2 linked regions of the Coturnix japonica genome follow. The protein of the gene in region 1 purifies or fractionates together with the protein of each later gene. This does not show direct contact. Links are inferred from orthologs where the notes say so. Each region holds a gene or a part of one and is shown in the gene's direction. Other genes may lie near its edges. The genes, in order: ITGA6 and CD151.

The links.
Region 2: the proteins of ITGA6 (region 1) and CD151 purify together in Homo sapiens (co-immunoprecipitation; 3 studies listed by BioGRID and IntAct, with this or other methods). This does not show direct contact. The link is inferred for Coturnix japonica from reciprocal best matches to the Homo sapiens genes ITGA6 and CD151.

The regions. Positions count from the first base shown.
Region 1 is NC_029522.1:15,820,316-15,829,173, reverse strand, and holds the end of ITGA6 (integrin alpha-6), read left to right. Parts: intron 1-42; coding exon 43-126; intron 127-323; coding exon 324-403; intron 404-565; coding exon 566-643; intron 644-752; coding exon 753-855; intron 856-1,287; coding exon 1,288-1,461; intron 1,462-2,040; coding exon 2,041-2,139; intron 2,140-2,477; coding exon 2,478-2,588; intron 2,589-2,667; coding exon 2,668-2,766; intron 2,767-3,092; coding exon 3,093-3,218; intron 3,219-3,377; exon of another isoform or gene 3,378-3,421; intron 3,422-4,325; coding exon of another isoform or gene 4,326-4,433; exon of another isoform or gene 4,434-4,455; intron 4,456-5,834; exon of another isoform or gene 5,835-5,919; coding exon 5,920-6,078; 3' UTR 6,079-7,993; downstream 7,994-8,858. UniProt on the Homo sapiens protein: Integrin alpha-6/beta-1 (ITGA6:ITGB1) is a receptor for laminin on platelets. Integrin alpha-6/beta-1 (ITGA6:ITGB1) is present in oocytes and is involved in sperm-egg fusion.
Region 2 is NC_029520.1:8,931,913-8,941,025, forward strand, and holds part of CD151 (CD151 antigen), read left to right. Parts: intron 1-1,153; coding exon 1,154-1,228; intron 1,229-3,539; coding exon 3,540-3,644; intron 3,645-4,461; coding exon 4,462-4,617; intron 4,618-6,866; coding exon 6,867-6,953; intron 6,954-7,773; coding exon 7,774-7,833; 3' UTR 7,834-9,113. UniProt on the Homo sapiens protein: Structural component of specialized membrane microdomains known as tetraspanin-enriched microdomains (TERMs), which act as platforms for receptor clustering and signaling.

The DNA.
Region 1 (8,858 bases):
TTTTAGCATAAATCAAATAATAAATATGTTATGTTTATTCAGGAAAAACAGCTCACATGCGGTGCTAACCAGAATGGCTCTCAAGCAGAGTGTGAACTTGGAAATCCATTCAAGAGAAACTCCAATGTGAGTTGCAGTTACTTTACTCAAGCTAGACAACCTGATTCCTGACTGCAGTCTTGTAAAGTTTCTGAGTTATAACCAGAAATTTGGCCTAGATCTGTCTTTTTAGCTTTAGAATTTGATGGTGTGTTACTGTAATACTGCATATATTAATATCTTTTCTAAATGTTCACGTTTCCTGGATGTTCTTTCTTATCTAGGTAACCTTTTATCTGATCTTAAGTACCACTAAAGTTAATGTTGATACAACAGACTTGGACATTAACCTCAAGCTGGAGACGTAAGTTTTCTTTGTGTATGTGTGTGTCTGTGCGCATTTTGTTTAGACAGATGGCCATAAACATTTTGAATGAGTGGTTTGATTCATAAAAGCAATTTAATAGTAAAGTAAAAAAACTTCTAAACTTGTAAAATCAGCAGCATTGTTTCCTTTCCATTGTAGAACAAGCACTCAAGTAAATTCAACTGCAATTACAGCCAGTGCTAAAGTGGTTCTTGAATTGCTTTTATCGCTCACAGGGTAAGTGTTAATAGCAGAACAAATAGGGGTGCAGGCTGGGGGGAGATCACCTTTGCTGCAGACTTCGTTACAACCTGATTCATTTCCTCTCTCCACCTTACCTGAACAGAGTGGCTAAGCCTTCCCAGGTGTATTTTGGAGGTGACATCGTTGGTGAGAGTGCTATGAAATCTGAAGATAATATTGGAAACCTCATAGAGTATGAATTCAGAGTGAGTAATTTAGAACAGTTTCTCCTTTTGCATGTGTAAATTCTCAAAAATGTTTCTGGATTTAGAAATAGGTTTTCCCAAGCTGTGGGAGCAGGATCCTGGTTATCTTTCTGTGTCAAAAGTTTGTTGTAAGCTTGGAGTTTGCTCCAGTTACGTAGACAAATGATTTGTTAACTCTAAACAGTGGGTGTTTCTTATAAAGACAGACTTTTAAACAGCAGCAGCTTAATGTTCGTAAGACTAAAAATTCATACCTTGACATTTAGTTACCTTCCAGATGTGCTAGTTTTCATATACATTTTGTCTTTAAGCTGTTTACACTGTCTTTTAGTGGCTTTCTAATTTCCTGTTGTCTACATGACTCCAAGTCAGTAATGGTGATAAATCCATTTGGAACAGATTGCACAACTTAAAGAAGATTTATTTTCATAGGTAACCAACTTGGGCAGGCCCCTGAAAGCATTTGGTACAGCTTCCCTGGACATCCAGTGGCCAAAAGAAATCAGTAATGGCAAATGGCTGCTATATTTGATGAAAATAGACTCCAAGGGCTTGGAAAAGGTTTCCTGTCAACCACAGAATGAAATCAATTTCTTGCATGTTGCGGTATGTTATTCTATCTTCTTTTGTTCACTAATAGGTTCACCATTAAAACACTACAGCATGTGATTACAGAGTGTAAGAGCCTACCTCCAGAAGGAATTTATCAAACAGGATTTTCACAGTCCTTCATTATGCCAACCCAGCAAGCTTTTCTAACCCCCCTGAGCCTTCATTTTCACTGTTTTTCATATAATCTCAAGGTCATTTGGGAGAAGTTGCAATCCTAGTTATTAAAACTGCATGTACTTCAATCTGTACTTATCTGTTGATCATTGCTAAACTTTCTGTGAGTAATCAGTTTATATTTCAAAAAACCCAAACCAGTATGTACTGACCATATCACCTGTACACCTATTAACGTAGTAATATTAATGCTGTATACACAGAACAAAAACAGAAACAGCATAAAAAGCTCTTTACATCTTAAAACTCATTGACATGTCAAAAGCAAGCAGGCAGTTGGCTTTTTAGTGGTTGATCTCAAATTTTCATGATTCTATTATTAGCAATGAATGTAGAAAAAAGGGGATATTTAACAACATCATTAAGACAGAGTTGTGACAGAAACATTTTATTTTGAAGGAATCCCATAACTCAAGAAGAAAGCGTGAGATTGCAGAGAAGCAGATTACAGACAGCAAGACATTTTCATTATTTTCAGAAAGAAAATACATGACATTGGTAAGCATACTGCATCAGCTAGTCTTGGTGGGCACTTCCTTCTCCACTCCTAACAGGGCTTTTTTGAGTTTGGCAGCATGAAAGATGATAGGGCTTTGATTTGTTTCTATCTTAAATCCAAGCACTGATGCTTTTAGAATTTGTTAATTCATATTTACTTTCTGAGGTGAGGAAATTGGGAATTTCTGTATAGTTATCTATGCTGAAATAAACACGAATTGCATTTTTATCATATTTTCCCATTGTTGTTGGTACAAACAGATTTTGGTTCTTGTGCCTAAATACGATGTTTAGAAAATTGTGAAGATGCTCTTACATGTAAAAATTTCTAACTGCAGGACTGCAAGGTGAATGCACGGTGTGTGGACATAAAATGTCCACTGAGGGGTTTTGACAGCAAGGCATCGATTTTGCTGCGTTCCAGACTGTGGAACAGTACTTTCTTGGAAGTAAGTTCTCCTGGCATTTCTGGAAGTTTAGAGTTCTTTCCTGTCATATGTCTAATAACTGTATTTTATTTTGGAACAGGAATACTCCAAAATGAACTACCTGGACATTCTTGTTAGGGCCTCAATCAGTGTTCCTGCTGCAGCTAAGAACGTCAAACTCACCAATGAAGCTGCTCAGGTAGGTTCAGCATTTAATGCCTGCCACAGATCATGTTATGTTTCCAGCTTATCTCAAAGACTAGAAAAGATAAACCATTTGAAAGCAAAAGGAGCTGGTATATTGGATCTTTGGAATCAAATTTTGAATTAGTGATCCTTTTTAATTTGGTTGGCAAAACTTGCTGCTATGTCAAAATGATACCCATAGAAACCTTTTCTTCAAAAACATGTTGTAGTGAGAGAAGACGTTGTAGGAAAAAAAAAAGACTATAAATTACAGTTTTATGTTAAAGATGGATGCTTTTGAAGTGCTTTTTCAATCTTTACATGTTTTCTTTCCTCTAGGTGCGTGTTACAGTCTTTCCTGCAAAGCCAGTAGCCCTTTATACAGGGGTGCCTTGGTGGATCATTGCAGTGGCTATTTTTGCTGGAGTACTGATGCTTGCGCTCCTGGTATTCTTGTTATGGAAGGTAAGTTTTTACTTACTTGATTATTTTATATTTCCTGGCATTCAAGTAGTAAGATAGCAAACAATTAAGTTTTTGTTCTCGTGCTATTCCTAATGCTATTAAACTCAAGGGTAGATGGGAAAAAATAAAACAACAAGAGATACAAAAATAGCACATTACCTGTGTGTCCAATTTCTTTTGTATGGGCTCCTTATCTTAGAGACCTTGAAGAAGCAAATTTGTATTTAAAAGGAAAAGTTAAGAATTTGCAAAACAAACAAACAAACAAAAAACAAGTACTTTTTAAACTGCCTTTGGCATTTCTACAACTAAAGGTGGTTCCAAGTAGAATAGGGTAGTTCTTTTCTTATACTAACTGCCAAAGCCAGTAAGTAATAAGTCAGTGGGGGAGAGAAGACACTCATTTAGAAAGAGTGGGTGAAGAGGAATATCCTGTCACTTGCCTTTGGAGAAACTGAAGCAGGTGGCATTGTTGGAATCACTGCTTGCTATGGATGATTTTTCATAGTATGCTTTTTATTTCCTCCTCAAAGAAATGGATAGTCTCTGTTGCAAGTCTTCTAAGAAATTACCATTAATATTGTTGGATGGACTGTTAGGTTACAACTATTAGTCTACTACTGCACATAAAGATGCTCTCATACACATTTTGAACTCCTTTTGATGACAGAAAATCATCTTATGAAGGACAAACGCTGTACATTGTAGGCAATTACGTGGCTGGGGATGAGATACATGCTCCTGTTGAACAGGACTAAGCATTTATCCTGTGCATAAATTGGTTTGTGATCTTGCTGCTCTTCACAGACAGCTTTAGTTGCTATAGATGTGCTGTATAAGTAGCTTTTCTTCAAAAAACAATGCATTAAAATTTTATCACAAAGCCTCTAAAACAGCATTCCTTACACTGCACAGGTTATTTTGCTCCTGTACAGAGTATGTTAGTTCTCAAATCTAATAACAGCAGCTGACTTTTCCTGTGAAAACTGTCTAAAATTTCAGGCAACCAGGCTGTGAAGAAATTATGGAAAGGTTGTTCTAGTCGGTTCTGATAGGTTTAACTCTTCTGGTCCACTGAAATTGACTAAATACCTTGCTTCCTTGTAGTGTGGTTTCTTCAAAAGAAGTAAGAAAGATCATTACGATGCCACATATCACAAGGCTGAGATCCATGCTCAGCCATCTGATAAAGAGAGGCTTACTTCTGATGCGTAGTATTGATCTACTTCTGTAATTGGTAATTGATGATATTTTTTAATTTTTAGCTGTGGTGGCACATGCTGTGGGTATGGTGGCTAACGATGAAGCTTTTGCTGCATATGTTCTATTAACTTTTGGATTTCAGACTGTCAGTACTTGCTTGCTTACTCTCTTAATAAATTTTCAGATTTTAGCATATATAAACACAGGTGGTTACCTTGGTCTAAGAAGCTTCTAGTTCTCTAGAAAACATATTGATCTGTTGCAGTGGTTTTTTAACTGATGATTTAACATAAGGGTTTTTTTTTGTTTTTTTTTTTTTTTTTTTTAAAGCTTTAGAGATGGTAATTGACAATGCAGAGTTAATACTTACAGTTAAGACTACCTAGAAGATAAACTTGCTTTATTAACCTTTTACTGCATGCTTAAAAATAAAATTGCTAATAATGAGAAGAGCATTCATAAATAAAAGGTAATTGCTGTGAAAACACCTTTTTTCCTTCAGTTTCAAAAATACTTTTCTATTCTAGAAGTAACTTCTCTGCTGCAGCTACCAGGATGCATGATAACTTATGTTTCTTAAGGCAATACATGCGCGTACAGATTAATTAGAGATGCTTTGAGATGAGGGGTTGGGAAGGAACTCTTACCTAAAATCTGTCAAAACTATGCGTAATGAATTTTTCCCCTCTTAAAGTGCAGATCTATTGAAGTTTTATTTTTAAACATTTTTTTAAAACAAGTCACAAATGAAACCGTACCTCTTTTATTTTTTTGCTATCAGTACGTAATCACAGTTTGTCACAGTGTCTTGTACTCTTAATCTTGACTTCAGAAACCCATCAACATGTCAAATGTTTGCCAGTCATCATCACAGTACCATTGTGGCCAAAACTCACTTTATTTGGAACATTCATTTCAGTCTTCTTAAGTAGTTTTAAAAAAATAATCAAGTTTAATAGTGGTTTTGATTAAAAAGAAAGCTTTTGGGGCACAAAGTTTACTGTATTTCATAATGGGAGTTGTTCATTGCAGAATGCTACAGAATTTCAATTTATAGCTGTTTTTCACTTTGGCAAATTAAGCAATATCTGTGCTCTAGGACTGTAAATGTGTGGTTAGTTAAGGCAGTGTAGTACTGATGGCGCTTTGAAAAGACAGCCCTAGTGTAAGCTTTCCTTAGACCTGGAAGTCTTTCTGTAAGTTTAATGGTAAATTACATCAACATAGAGTAATGAAGTACATACCTGCCTTTCATTCAGGAGAAGTAAACGTTCCTGAACTGTATGCACATCTCTCTTTAGCATGGAGATTTCTCAATACACAACAGAACAATTTTAGAGGAAGACTTATATGGTGTGTTTTATAATCTGTCTATAATCTATTCTGTAATCTTTTTGTATTCAGTTCTCTTACCTGTATGAAGAATACATCGCCTCTGTGATTGTAGTACTTCCACAGCAACTTCAATCTAAACTCTTCTTTTTCTCCTCGTCCCCAGTGTGGGTTCTTCCAGCGCTCCAGGTACGATGACAGCGTCCCCCGCTATCATGCTGTAAGAATTCGAAAAGAAGAACGAGAGATCAAAGGCGGGAAATGCAAAGATCTTGAGACAAAACAGTGGTTCACAAAATGGAATGAGAATGAAAGTTATTCTTAGGAAGAAGTTGTTTCCCTCCTCAAAGTTCAGATACAGCGTAATGCTTTTGTTAATGGTGAACTCGTGGAGTTAGACCTATGAACACTATGGACATCTTCACTGTTTGTTTGTAGATAATACTACTTACATTGCAGCTTTTGTTTGCACAGTTAAAATTGCTTCGTCAGTCCTTTTTGGCACTATGTAATTTCCACTCTGCCTCTTTTTCCCCCCTTCAAATCTAGCTCAGGCTTTAGAAGACACCGTGTTGATTTGGGCTCTTTGCTGCAGAACATGCAGACCCAATCTGGCAGGCCTTCTCCTGTGCTCCTCATGTTCCTGGGAATTGCGTGATTGAGATCAGTGCAGGTTCTCCAGCCTTCCCTTGATGTTTGATCCCTTACAAACACACTGGCCTTAACATATGTAGTTAAGTATCATCTGAAGACCTGCAAATCTATTTTAGCCATAAGCTTTGCTGCTGCAGTAGCTAGGGCTTACAAAAAGCATCACCTTCAGTTGTATGCACAATAGGTCGCGTTGCTCAATTTTTAAAATCAGATTATGTAAATGTTGCTCACAACAAATATACACAGGTTGTTTTTTTCTTAGTTTTTTTAAAAGAGGCTTGAATATTAGATGTACTTTTTGTATATATATATATTTTAGTCATTTTTGTATTTATTTTTGTTATCGATGTCTTTGACTGTTAGGCCAAAGACTTTCCTGAACCTTGAAACCACTGTGCTTAGGAACTTCAGAAAATGAGACCTGAGGCTTTCATTGCAGTTTAATAAATCACTGAAGGTGCCAACGCTTTCTAAAAATGTAAATATTTATTCCAGTGATGTACATGGAGTCTTTTTTTTTTTTTTTCATGATATTTGTAACTTGATCTAATAGGAACTACCAGGTCTTATAGTATGACTTTGTACATTACTTGAGACTATTAAACAGTTCAGACACCAAGTATAGGTAGGGTTTTTAAGATGCAGTTTTATACTTCACTGGTAGTGAGAGGTTTTCTGGAAGCAGCTTTCCAGCTTCATAAGGACTTCCTGTCTGGCAAACGGTGTTGACTACTACAACTGTATGAAGCACTTGACGAGGCTGTATATGCCTAACTTAACTATGAGGATCTGAGCTGATCCACTTTGAGACTACTGAACCCTCTTGAATACCTGAACATTGTTAAGAGAGCAGTCACGATGCTGTGCTTATCAGCAATCTAAGCATTGATAAAACTATATAGAGATTACTTTTTTTTTTTTTTCTTTACCCTTATTCTAAAGCACTGGTACTCCTTAAGAACGAAGATCAGTTTGCAGTTTATTCCATATAGGACAGAATTCTGCTCAAGAAGCGTGCAGTTGTTTGCAGTTTAAACTATGCAAAAACCTCTTGGTACTTCTTCCTCTCAGAGGGTAAAAACCTGCTAAGAGGGCACTTGTCAGGTGTCTGATTTCTGCTACTAACTTTTAAGACCTTTTTAGAAGCTACGCTCACCTAAAATGCTATCCTTATAGAAAGGGCAGTAATTTAGTAGGCTCTTCTTCCTCCCATTAAATCATCTCAGTACATGACCCTGATTTTGTGAACCGTGACAAATGCATTTTGCTGTTACTCAGTTTTCGAGCTTTTTTAAAAATAGCTTTTTCACTGATTGGCTGTGCGGTATAAGAGGCCACGCTAACGAGGTGCTAAGATGCTTGGCAACCAACTACTCCCAGCCTCTGTTTTTAAAGCAGATTGTGGCCCTCCCCTAAGACCATGAATGTCTCTGCAGTGTTAAAGTGAAAATTATTCTCAATAAGTCACGTCACTGGCATACTTCTATTTCAGACTTGTTTTTAATACCAGCTAACAATCATTCCATCATTAGAAATTACCTGTGGATATTTGTATAGAAGTGTGAAATAAATTTTTTAAAACTAAACATTGCTCTGATAATAGTGGTTTCTTATCATAATTAAACGAGAGAGCCACAGCAAGGCTCACTGGTACATCAGAAAGGCAGGCTAAACGTTGCAGACACCAACAGTCACACTGTGAATATTGCCATATCCCCTCAGCCCTGCCCGTGGAGGGAGGTGATGGCTCCTCCAAACTGTGTGTCATGATATGGAATACGTGCAGACAGTTTTGAAACAGGAGTTATTTAAGGAAGAGGGGTTTAAAGGTCATGGTACGTTTGTTTGTTTGTTTTCCCTTAATACAATCTTTCTGTTATGTGTTTGAGGTACAAAGCAAGAAAAAGCTGACACACGGGCACCAGGGCAACAGCATGCAGGTGGAAAAGATGAAACCAGCCCAGAACCATTTTAAGCAGCTGCAACAAATTACAAACACCCAACTTACTGCCTGTGGGTACTGCTTTAAACTGCTACTAGCTCACAGCTGACATCATTATAAGCCGGTTTTAAGAACAGCAGTAATGGAAGCCAAGAATCACAGATTCACAGAATTATCAAGGTTGGAAAAGACCTAGAAGATCATCTAGTCCAACCATCACCAATACTTCCCAGTTAAATCATATCCCCCAACACAACATCCAAGCGATTCTTGAACACTCCCGTGGTCGGTGACTCCACCACCTCCCTGGGCAGTGCATTCCAGTGCTTGACCACCCTTTCCTAGAAGTAATACTTCCTAATGTCTCAAACTGCTCTAAGGCTGAGAAGTATGTGAGCTCCTGTAAGCAGCACAGTATCATTAGCCTGAGTTTATACAGAGACGATAGAGTCGTTGGCTTGCCCCATTAGCTACTGCTGCTGGTCAGAGTAGAGCAGGGTAACGTGGCA
Region 2 (9,113 bases), on another chromosome or scaffold:
GGAGAGAAAGCCTGAGATTGTGTGCTCAGATTAAAGCCTGGCCTGCAGATAATACCCAGCTGGCCATCCTTTGCAGCTGGTGTATCCCAGAAGGGGTGAAAGAAGAAACCTGAGCTGTGTTGTTTAATTCCTGTGAAGTAGCTCAGAAGTACCTGTGTCTACCAGCCAAGAAGGGTTGTGCAGTGCAGAGAGTAACCCTTGTGTAACAGAAAACAATCTTGCTTGTGTCCAGGGCTTCACTATCCTTCTACATGCTGGGTGGAGAGATGGTTTCATGGCTAGCTACATTTTTAGGGAACTGTTCGCCTAATCCCTTGGGAATAGCCATGTTCTGAGCTTGAGTGAGACAGAGTGGAAGATGATGTGTTAGTTCTGTCCTGAGCAGGCCAAGTCTTACAGGGGCTTTGCATAAGGACGTTGTTATAGATTCAACTAGTGCCACTTCGGCTTCGTCTATAAAAAGATGAAGTTAGTAGCAGTTGTAGAACAACTTGGATCTGTAAAGGAACTGCCTTTTTATCTAAAATCTTATCACTTCACTGGTGCACTGCAGATGGTGGTTGAACCGCACAGAAGTACCTGGAAATGTAAATCCGTGTCTTAAATTTATGTTCAATTGATCACCTTTGTCCTTGGTGAAATGGGCTATTTGTTGGTTCATTTAATTGTTGTTATAGCACGCATTTCTCCTTAGTAACTTCGGGAAATGCCCTAAACAATATGAAAGCAAGCAAAAGTTTCAGAATTATTTTTTAATTATGTCAGAAGCAGATATTTTCTGTGATACTAAATGTATTCATCAGGTTATCTGGCAACCACTCTCTTCTGTCTAGTGATCTTATCTCAGCTGCCTGCACTTTTCCATTCTCTATATCCCTCTGGCAGTTTGAGTTAAACTCACACTTGCTTCTGCTTGTCTTCTGTTATCAAGCATGTTCATTTTTGTTTTTGTTGTTTTGTTTTTGGTTTTGGTTTTTTTTTTGACCTGTGGGATTGTTCCCTTTCTATCCTATTGAGGTCCTAATCCCACTATTATCTTTGAGATCTCCTGCAGATAACCATCAGCAGAGACAGTGTCACGTATTTTACTAGCTAGTGGTAAGCCAGCTTCAAGATTCTGTTCTAACATCCTGTTTTTCCCATTATTTTACAGTATTTCATATTGTTGCTGTGCATCTTCCTCCTGGAGATCATTGCTGGAATCCTGGCCTATATCTACTACCAGCAGGTGAGTGGACAGCAGTCCTAGAAACTCAAACCAGGAAGAGAAAACAGCTGACTGTCATCCCATTACTCCGGCCAAAATTGGGCTTGAAGGCTTGGGACCAAGTGTCTGATTAGGTTTCATCCTTCTACATGTCTATACTCACTTTCTACCCCATACAAAAAAACTTAGGTTATTTACTACTTTTGACAAAGCTTTAGTGGTTACACTTGGGAGGCTGTTCAGCCTTGCTGCTCATCTTGTGTTTCATCTTCGCAAGCTGCAGAGTCTTGTAGAAGACAACTGTTAAGGCTGTGTAGAACTTCTAATACCCTTTAAGTCACACTGCAAGCAACTGAAATGACATTAGTGCCACCAAGTATATACAGGACATGAGTGATCCTGTTGCATCTAGCAAGGTAGCTATCACACTCCTGAACTTACAAAGGTGGTCCAGCTGTTAGGTCCTTTCAGGTCATAAAGTTTTGGAGGTCTTTACCTAACCAGCGTAGCTGAGGGGGTAACAGCATTGACTCTCAACAGCTGCAGTTCTAAGTTGGCACTTCTTGCAGTTGCAGAGAACAGAGGCTTAATAAATCATTGCTTTGTTTTCAAAGGATATTTAGCCACCAGAACACAAACAGCCTGGGAAATTGCTCTCAAGTCTGGAAATTGGTTGGAAAGGGTGAATTAGAATTGTTGTCAAGTGTCTGTCTGAAGAGCAGCTGGATATCTCATTCCATCTTGTTGGCTTCACTGTTAGGATTCCTTGCCGTTCCTTTCTATTTTGAGACTTTTGTGCTTTGCATCTCCAGGATGGGCACTGTCAGTTTGTGAGGAGTCAGAGTGTTGTTAATTCATTTGCTTGGTAGGAACTGAGATGGGTCAGTGGAATATATTTAACTGGGAAAGATCAGGCCCAGGAGCATGGCAGAAAGCCTCACTTGGCTCATGTATGACAAAGGATGAAAAGAAGCTGATCCTTAGGTAGAGTAAAGGATGACACATTTGGAGCTGTCCCTTCAAGTGCTTTAAGTCACTCAAAGGCATTCTGATCAGTAGCTGCACTTTCCCCTTGCACTGTGACTGATAAATGCCCCTTCTTTGCTGGTTGCAGGCTGCTTGCTGTTTGCTTATTTCAGCCCTTGCTTTTGGTATCTAAGGCTTGTGTGTCTGAACTCCCTCTCTTTTGTTGTCTTTGTTCCATGCTGCAGTTCTTCCCCATGAGCCTGCAGGTAACTGCTTTTCTCCCAAGTACTAATTCTGTTAATGGATTCTCCTCTTTATTTGCCTCTGATGCCTTCCAGCTACCGAACCTTTTGCTTTCTCTTCATTACATTAAGTCCCTTGCACTTCTGCAGAGCTTCCCAACCCAGGATCTCAAAGCATTTTTCAAATATTTATGAATGAAGCCTCTTATCAACTCTATGAGGTAGGTATTGTCACCACTTGACACACAGGATTGGGAAAAACAGTATATCAAAAGGAAAATAAACTGCAGATTGTATTTTGCCCAGTGCAGTGTAACGAGATGTTTGACCCCTCACTTACTGCTTACTGTACAGAATAAAAGGCGTTTAGAGAAGCTGTCTCTACAGCTATCTCTACTGATGTGTAAGAGGAACTTAGCTAGATTAAGAAGAGCTTCCATAGAAAGAAATATTTGAGTGCAGTCACCTGAACCTACCAGTGGTTGGTGATAGGAACATTTTCAGAAATGATGAACTTCCAGAATCAGACGTCATCTCTGTGGTTTTACAAATCTGTCACTGTTATCAAGAAATGCCATGGAGCAATCTTGCAATTACGCTCTTCATCCCCTCCTCTGGCATCCCTTTTGCTGTCATTTTAAGAGCTATTCAGACTACGTGACCTCAGTCCAGTGTGCCCAGGACTCTGATTTCTTCCTGCTCCTGGACAGACTGATTGTGTTTTTTCAGGGACAGAAGACTGCATATGCTCTCATGGCATATTCATATTCAAGCAGGCACAGTTAGGTATTGTGTTTTAGATGCAAACATGTCTTGGCAATCTCTTACATGTGTGAGGTGAGGACCCACGTGGTGATATGTTGCACAGACTGAAATTTGGCCCAGAATCACTTCATTCCAGTTAATAAAGTGGAAACGTGGTCTTTAATCAGCTGGAAATAAGCTTACCTGCTTCCTGGAAGTCATTCCAGCCTTGGAAGATGACTTAAGGAAGCTGTAGCTTTCACTTTTTGGCTTTCTTTTCTCTTGGAGCAGTAGCAGTGAAACTTATGCAGGACGCTGGGTTGCCCTGAGGGGAGGTGAATTTACCTCATGATTTTATCCCACTTGTCTCTTCTTTTCAGCTGAGCACGGAGCTGAAGGAAAATCTGAAGAACACCATGACTCAGAAATACCGCAAAGAGGGAGAAGAGAGAGTGACCAGTGCAGTGGACAAACTGCAGCAGGAGGTGGGTGTTGCTGGAGATGCTATTGTACAATACTAGACATGATGTGAGCTCTTGTCACCTGACATACAGATTGTTTCTCCTGAGTCAGAGCAGGTTGGGTGGTGTGCAGGGTCTTGGCTGTGCTACCAGCGGAATGGCATGGGATAATCTCTGAATTGGATCCCCAATAGAATTGAGCAATCAACATCTAAATTGCTCCTGGAGTGAACTGAAGTGCCGAGTCACTCTGACAGCTGTTTCTACTTACCACATGAAAGCTTTGGAGAAATTGCTGACATTTTTCATTAAGCTTCTCAGTACCCTAGAGAACAAGATGTAATGAAAGATCCTGCTGCTGCTGCGAGCTGTGTCATGCTCTGGGGTGGTTCAGGTATGGGCTGTCATAGTTCTGACAGGCTTTTCCACAGACTGGACCTTTGTGCAAGGCATAGGTCCAGCAGTTTCAAAGCGTGCAGCCTGCTATGCATGTAATGCCCTGTTGCCAGGTGCATATGCGATAGTAACTGGTAATTATACCTACCCTGTTAGTGCTCTCTGGTCAGGTGATTTAAGAGCTGAGGCAGCTGCAGGTGCTCTCTAGCTACAGTTCATCTCAACAGTAACAGAAGTCAACTGCTGAAAGATGGATGAAGCTGATAATTAATTGCCAGCATTGAAACAAAGCTCACTAATAATTACAGGGGTCCAAAAATCTAGGCTAGTGACATTGCTGGAGTCTCTCAACAAAGAGCAAAGCTCAGAGCTTGATACAGGGAGGCTTGAGTGAGAAGGAAACTGCAGTGCTTGCAGGCTCAGCTTTGTTTATATGTGTTTGCAGTTCAAATGCTGTGGGAGCAACAACTACACAGACTGGGCTGACAGTATCTGGATCAGATCTCCAGAGGCCAGTGGACGGAAAGTTCCTGACAGCTGCTGTAAGACAATAACTGACCTGTGTGGCCGAAGGGACCATCCTTCCAACATCTACAAGGAGGTAAAGAACAAAAGGGCTTCAGAGCCTCTTGTCACAAATTTTATCGAGGAGGTGGGTGGGAAGTGAGGATTTTGGGTTGGCACTTTGTGTCTCTAGTTGAGTGTTGAGCCTTCCAGGCTACATTTAAGAAGATTCAGGGAAGAGGGAAAAAAAAAAAGAGGAGTCAGAGTGTCTGGGCTGCTATTACAGAAGCATGTATTTGTGGCTACCAGAGTGATACTATAGCCAGTACCCAGTGAGTACGGTATGGGATTAATCCTCTACACTGGAGTGGCTGTGGATTAGGCAAGGAGTGTATTTCAAATCTGCCTCAGGACTGTTCTTGGCATTTGCAGGGAACCTGATATGTAGAAAAGGATTGTAAAGGCAATAAAGAAGAGAGTTCAGGAGCTGGGGAAAAAAGCAGAGATATGTTCTGCACCATTTTATTTCCTATAGAGAAAAATACTAAGTTATATTTGTTATTGCAGAATATGATGGTGATGAGGGAGCGGGAGAGGTTGCTTCTGGCAGGAGTTTTGGGTTTGAGCTCTGCGTTCTCAGCTTCCTGTTATTAAACTTAGTGAGGAGCAAAGAGATACAGTCAAGGATCAGCATTGACAGATTTGACCTCCAGCATGAGGAAACAGGATATGGGGCTCCCCAGCAGAAAAATTAGGCCAATTCCAGAGAACTGCAGTTAGGGGTGAAAAGAATTTGGAGCTGAGCTGCTTATCTCACCTCCAGAAGAAGCAAATTGAATCCCAGAGCAGCTGAGGAAATAGGCAGGTAGCTCTCACTTATTCATCTTGTTGATTAAAACTGGTATAATTTCTTGTGTTTTTGTTTTCATACCCTTCAGTCCTATGGCTTGGCTCACCATAAATCTCTCTGTGAGTTAGCATAGACTGTTTTCTCACCAGTGCAGCTTTTGCCTCAGCTGACTGTACTAAGGCATGGGAGCAGCAGCCGGAGCCTTTTCCTTGTCTCTGCCCCACTAGGTGCAGAGATGAAGTTCAGTCTTCCTGCTCTACTAAAGCCACCCTTTATTAAGTCCAGCTGCTTGGCTGGGTTTTGGTCTCCTGAAGGAAGACTTTCCCATAAGGTCTGTTATCTTCCAAGGGCTGTTGAGGTGTCTCTGAGTGTAGAAACCTACAAGTGTGTGAGGGCAGAGCTGGCTTGCCCCAGCCTCACTCTGTGCTGTGTGAAACTGCCCAGCTGGTTACTGAGGAAGGTCCTATGGGCTGCCAAGTGCACAGCATTAGCTCTGGAGTATAAAAAGCTGCCAAACGCCATGTGGATCTACATATAGACACTACTTCTCATGATACAACATCTAAGTTAGAGTTCAAAACAGACTTCAGTTGCACTGGGGAAGAAGAACCTAGAAGAGGTTGGATCAGGACACGGGAGCAATTGTTTCACACTGGGGCAGCTGGAGCTGACTCTCAAACCTAATTCAGGCGTGGGAAAAGTGCGGCCTTTGCCATCCCTCCCTGGAGAGGTGCATGCTCACTCATTCCCTCTGCCTGGGTAAATGTAGGTGTCTGTGCTCACTGTAGACCCCTGGGGCTGTAGTGCCCTGGCACCCATGGGGCACTGTTGCAACACAACAAATCCCCCTGATGTTACCATGGAAAACCTGCCTCACTAGTTGAGACAGTTAAACTATTTAAAGAGAACTCTTCCAAAATAATCAGAGAATTCTCTTACTGTTTTATTTTTGCATTATGGCAACAAAAACATGGGCCTGAAACTAGGATGTTATGCTGCCAGCCAAGGATGCAAGTGAAAAGCAGAGATAGTCAGTGCCTGTTTTTCCAGGTTCACATTAAAACCCCATAAATAACAGTGGGAGGAATTTCCTTTCAAAGGGTTCCTCTCATGTTAGAGGTCTTAATGCAGCATTTCCTTGGCATTTTGGCCTGGCAAGAGCAAAGCCCCACTTCAGGCATGTGCTAAGCAATGAGGGAGCCCTCCTCCACATACCTCAGAGGAAAATCTGAGAGAAATCCTTCTCTGTAATGTGCCAAGTTCTTCTGTACTTCTTCAGCCACCTTAAGTTTGTTCAGCAATTCCTGAGACATACAGAAACAGAATGGACTTTATATAATCTATATAGCTTTTCCAGCAGTGTTGCAAGGAGAGGATGCTCACAGCCACTGCTTTTTATAGGGATGCCTTCAAGGGTTACAACTGCTGTCTTAAAGTGAGACACGAGAAGTTAAAATGAAGATGACTTTCCTTGTCTCCTCTCTCTCCCCTTGCAGAATGGTTGCATTACCAAGCTGGAAAACTTCATTCAAGAACATCTGAAAATTATTGGCATAGTTGGGATCAGCATTGCCTGTGTGCAGGTATTGTGTGGAACTGTGTGGAGTCTTGGGCTTTCTGGGTAGAATCTTAAGAAACTCAAGAGCTAAGGGATGGAAAAATTGGTATTTCATGCTTTTCCTTGCCTGGCAAAAAAAAAAGTTGTCAGGTGAGGGAAAGGTACTTCAGTGACCTTGGGGTCCACTAACTCCAGAGCTAGTGCCTCTTCTGTCAGTTTGTAACATTTCATTTCTGGTGAAAGAAAGGCACTTTTCTGCTCAGACAGGTTTCTGCAGCGGGGATGTGAGAAATGAGGTGTGGTTATGGCTACTGGTTTGGCAGCCTGAGAGAGACCTCTGGTGGGGATGTGCCAGGATTGCCTGTGCTGCCAAAGAACCGGTTTGAAGGAGTTTCCCATCACGGTTGATTAGCTCATTCTTCATACATTCAGAGTTTCTGCTCTGGCTTTGTCATATTGAGGAACAGCACTGTGGGTCAGCAAATGTTTAAGGAGAGTCTGAAGAATAAAGGGATAGGATGTGGATGCTCCTACATGGTTACAGGGGGAGAGACAGCCAGAATAATCTTGACTTCCAGATGCAGGTATCTCTGGAAGTTGTTCATTTTCCCTTCTGTTCTGGCATACAGACAAATTACATTCTAGAGAAGCTGATAGTAATTAATTATGAGATTAGCACAGATTATGTTCTCTCACACTCATTGCAAGCTGGAGTGCTGTATCTCCAGGCCGGAGTTGGTTGCCACTCCGATATGGGTCCAAACTTCTAGTTTGCAGGCTGCTACCTCTACTGCATCCATTCTGTTTTTTTTCATGCATTTCTCTCTTCTCTTTCTGCCCTGTAGATCTTTGGGATGATTTTCACTTGTTGCTTGTACAGGAGTTTGAAGCAGGAGCCGTATTAATAGCTATGGGAACTCTTGTCAGCTCCCCCTCTGCCACTTCCCTTAGTGCCTGCCAACCTCACCACCCTCCACCACCACCACAGAAGTGTCTGCAACCTGAGGACTTCGCTCTAATTAAATGCCTTACCTGCCCCTTATGGGGAAAGTCACCCTCCTCATGCACAAGGCAGCCAGGAATTCAGCAGGTCCTCTTCATCGTCAAGAAACAGAAGAGCTGTGGATTTTCTGCTAGAAGCTTTAGCAAAACAGTCTCTTGATGTAACTACAAAGCAAGATTTATCTAGGGCCTTTCTCTTGGGGCTCTTGCTGAGCCGACGTGGAAGTATTGGGATGCTACACAGGAACCACGGTTTGCTTTCTGAGAAGTGTCTCAGCAGAGCTGGGCATTGACTGTGAGGACAGATGATGTTTCTGCGCTGAGCTGGAGCCAGATCTGAGTCTTTCAGACACAGAAGATTTGTCATTCTCCCCCCAGCCTGTGCCCTGATGTCCTAACACAGATGTTCTCCACCTGTGTAGATGCCTGTCTGGTTGTGTGGGGCAGGAATTGCGCTCTGTGCTCATCAGGATCACGACTTGGTACAGTTGAAATCTTGTTGCGGCTCTAATGTTGTCGAGATCTGGGTGCCTTAGTATTTCTCAGCAATCCTTCCTCCTCTTCCTTGAAGCTTCCCTGTAACGCAGTGCCATTAGGAGCCACAAGAAGCCTTCTGCCGCCTAGCAATTCCAGAGCCAAAGACATTGGACTGCTTTCTAATTCTTTTGGGTCATGTCTGTTTTATTTAGTGGCTTCCAGTGTGAATGAGAAAGTTCAAAGAGTTGTTTCCTGCCTGTCCCCTGGTGTGGTTTGACGAAGAGCTGGTCTGTTGGTGGAGCTGATGTATCATGCTACCCTTCGGCCTGTTTGGTTAGTGGAAATGCTTCATCACATCTCTTACGTGTTGAGAGACACCCTGGGCTTGATGCTCTAATTAAAACCTCCAGGCTTGTCTCTCTTGGGGTGGGAAATGAATATATACAAATGTTTTATCAGCCTCCAAAGAGCTCATTAATCAGTTGAGGGTTTTCTGGCTTTAATGAGATCTGGAAGCCCACTTTCCAGACTATCCCAGCAGTAAACAGTAGAGTCATCTTCCCCCAGTTGTTCCAGTGTATTTGGTAAATTGGTAGTGCTGGGTTTAACTGTCTATTTAATTAAATAGATTTAATTAAATGTTATCTCTGCATTGGGATCCTGGTTACATACAGGGCATAAATGCAACTGCTGCCATGGAATTGGT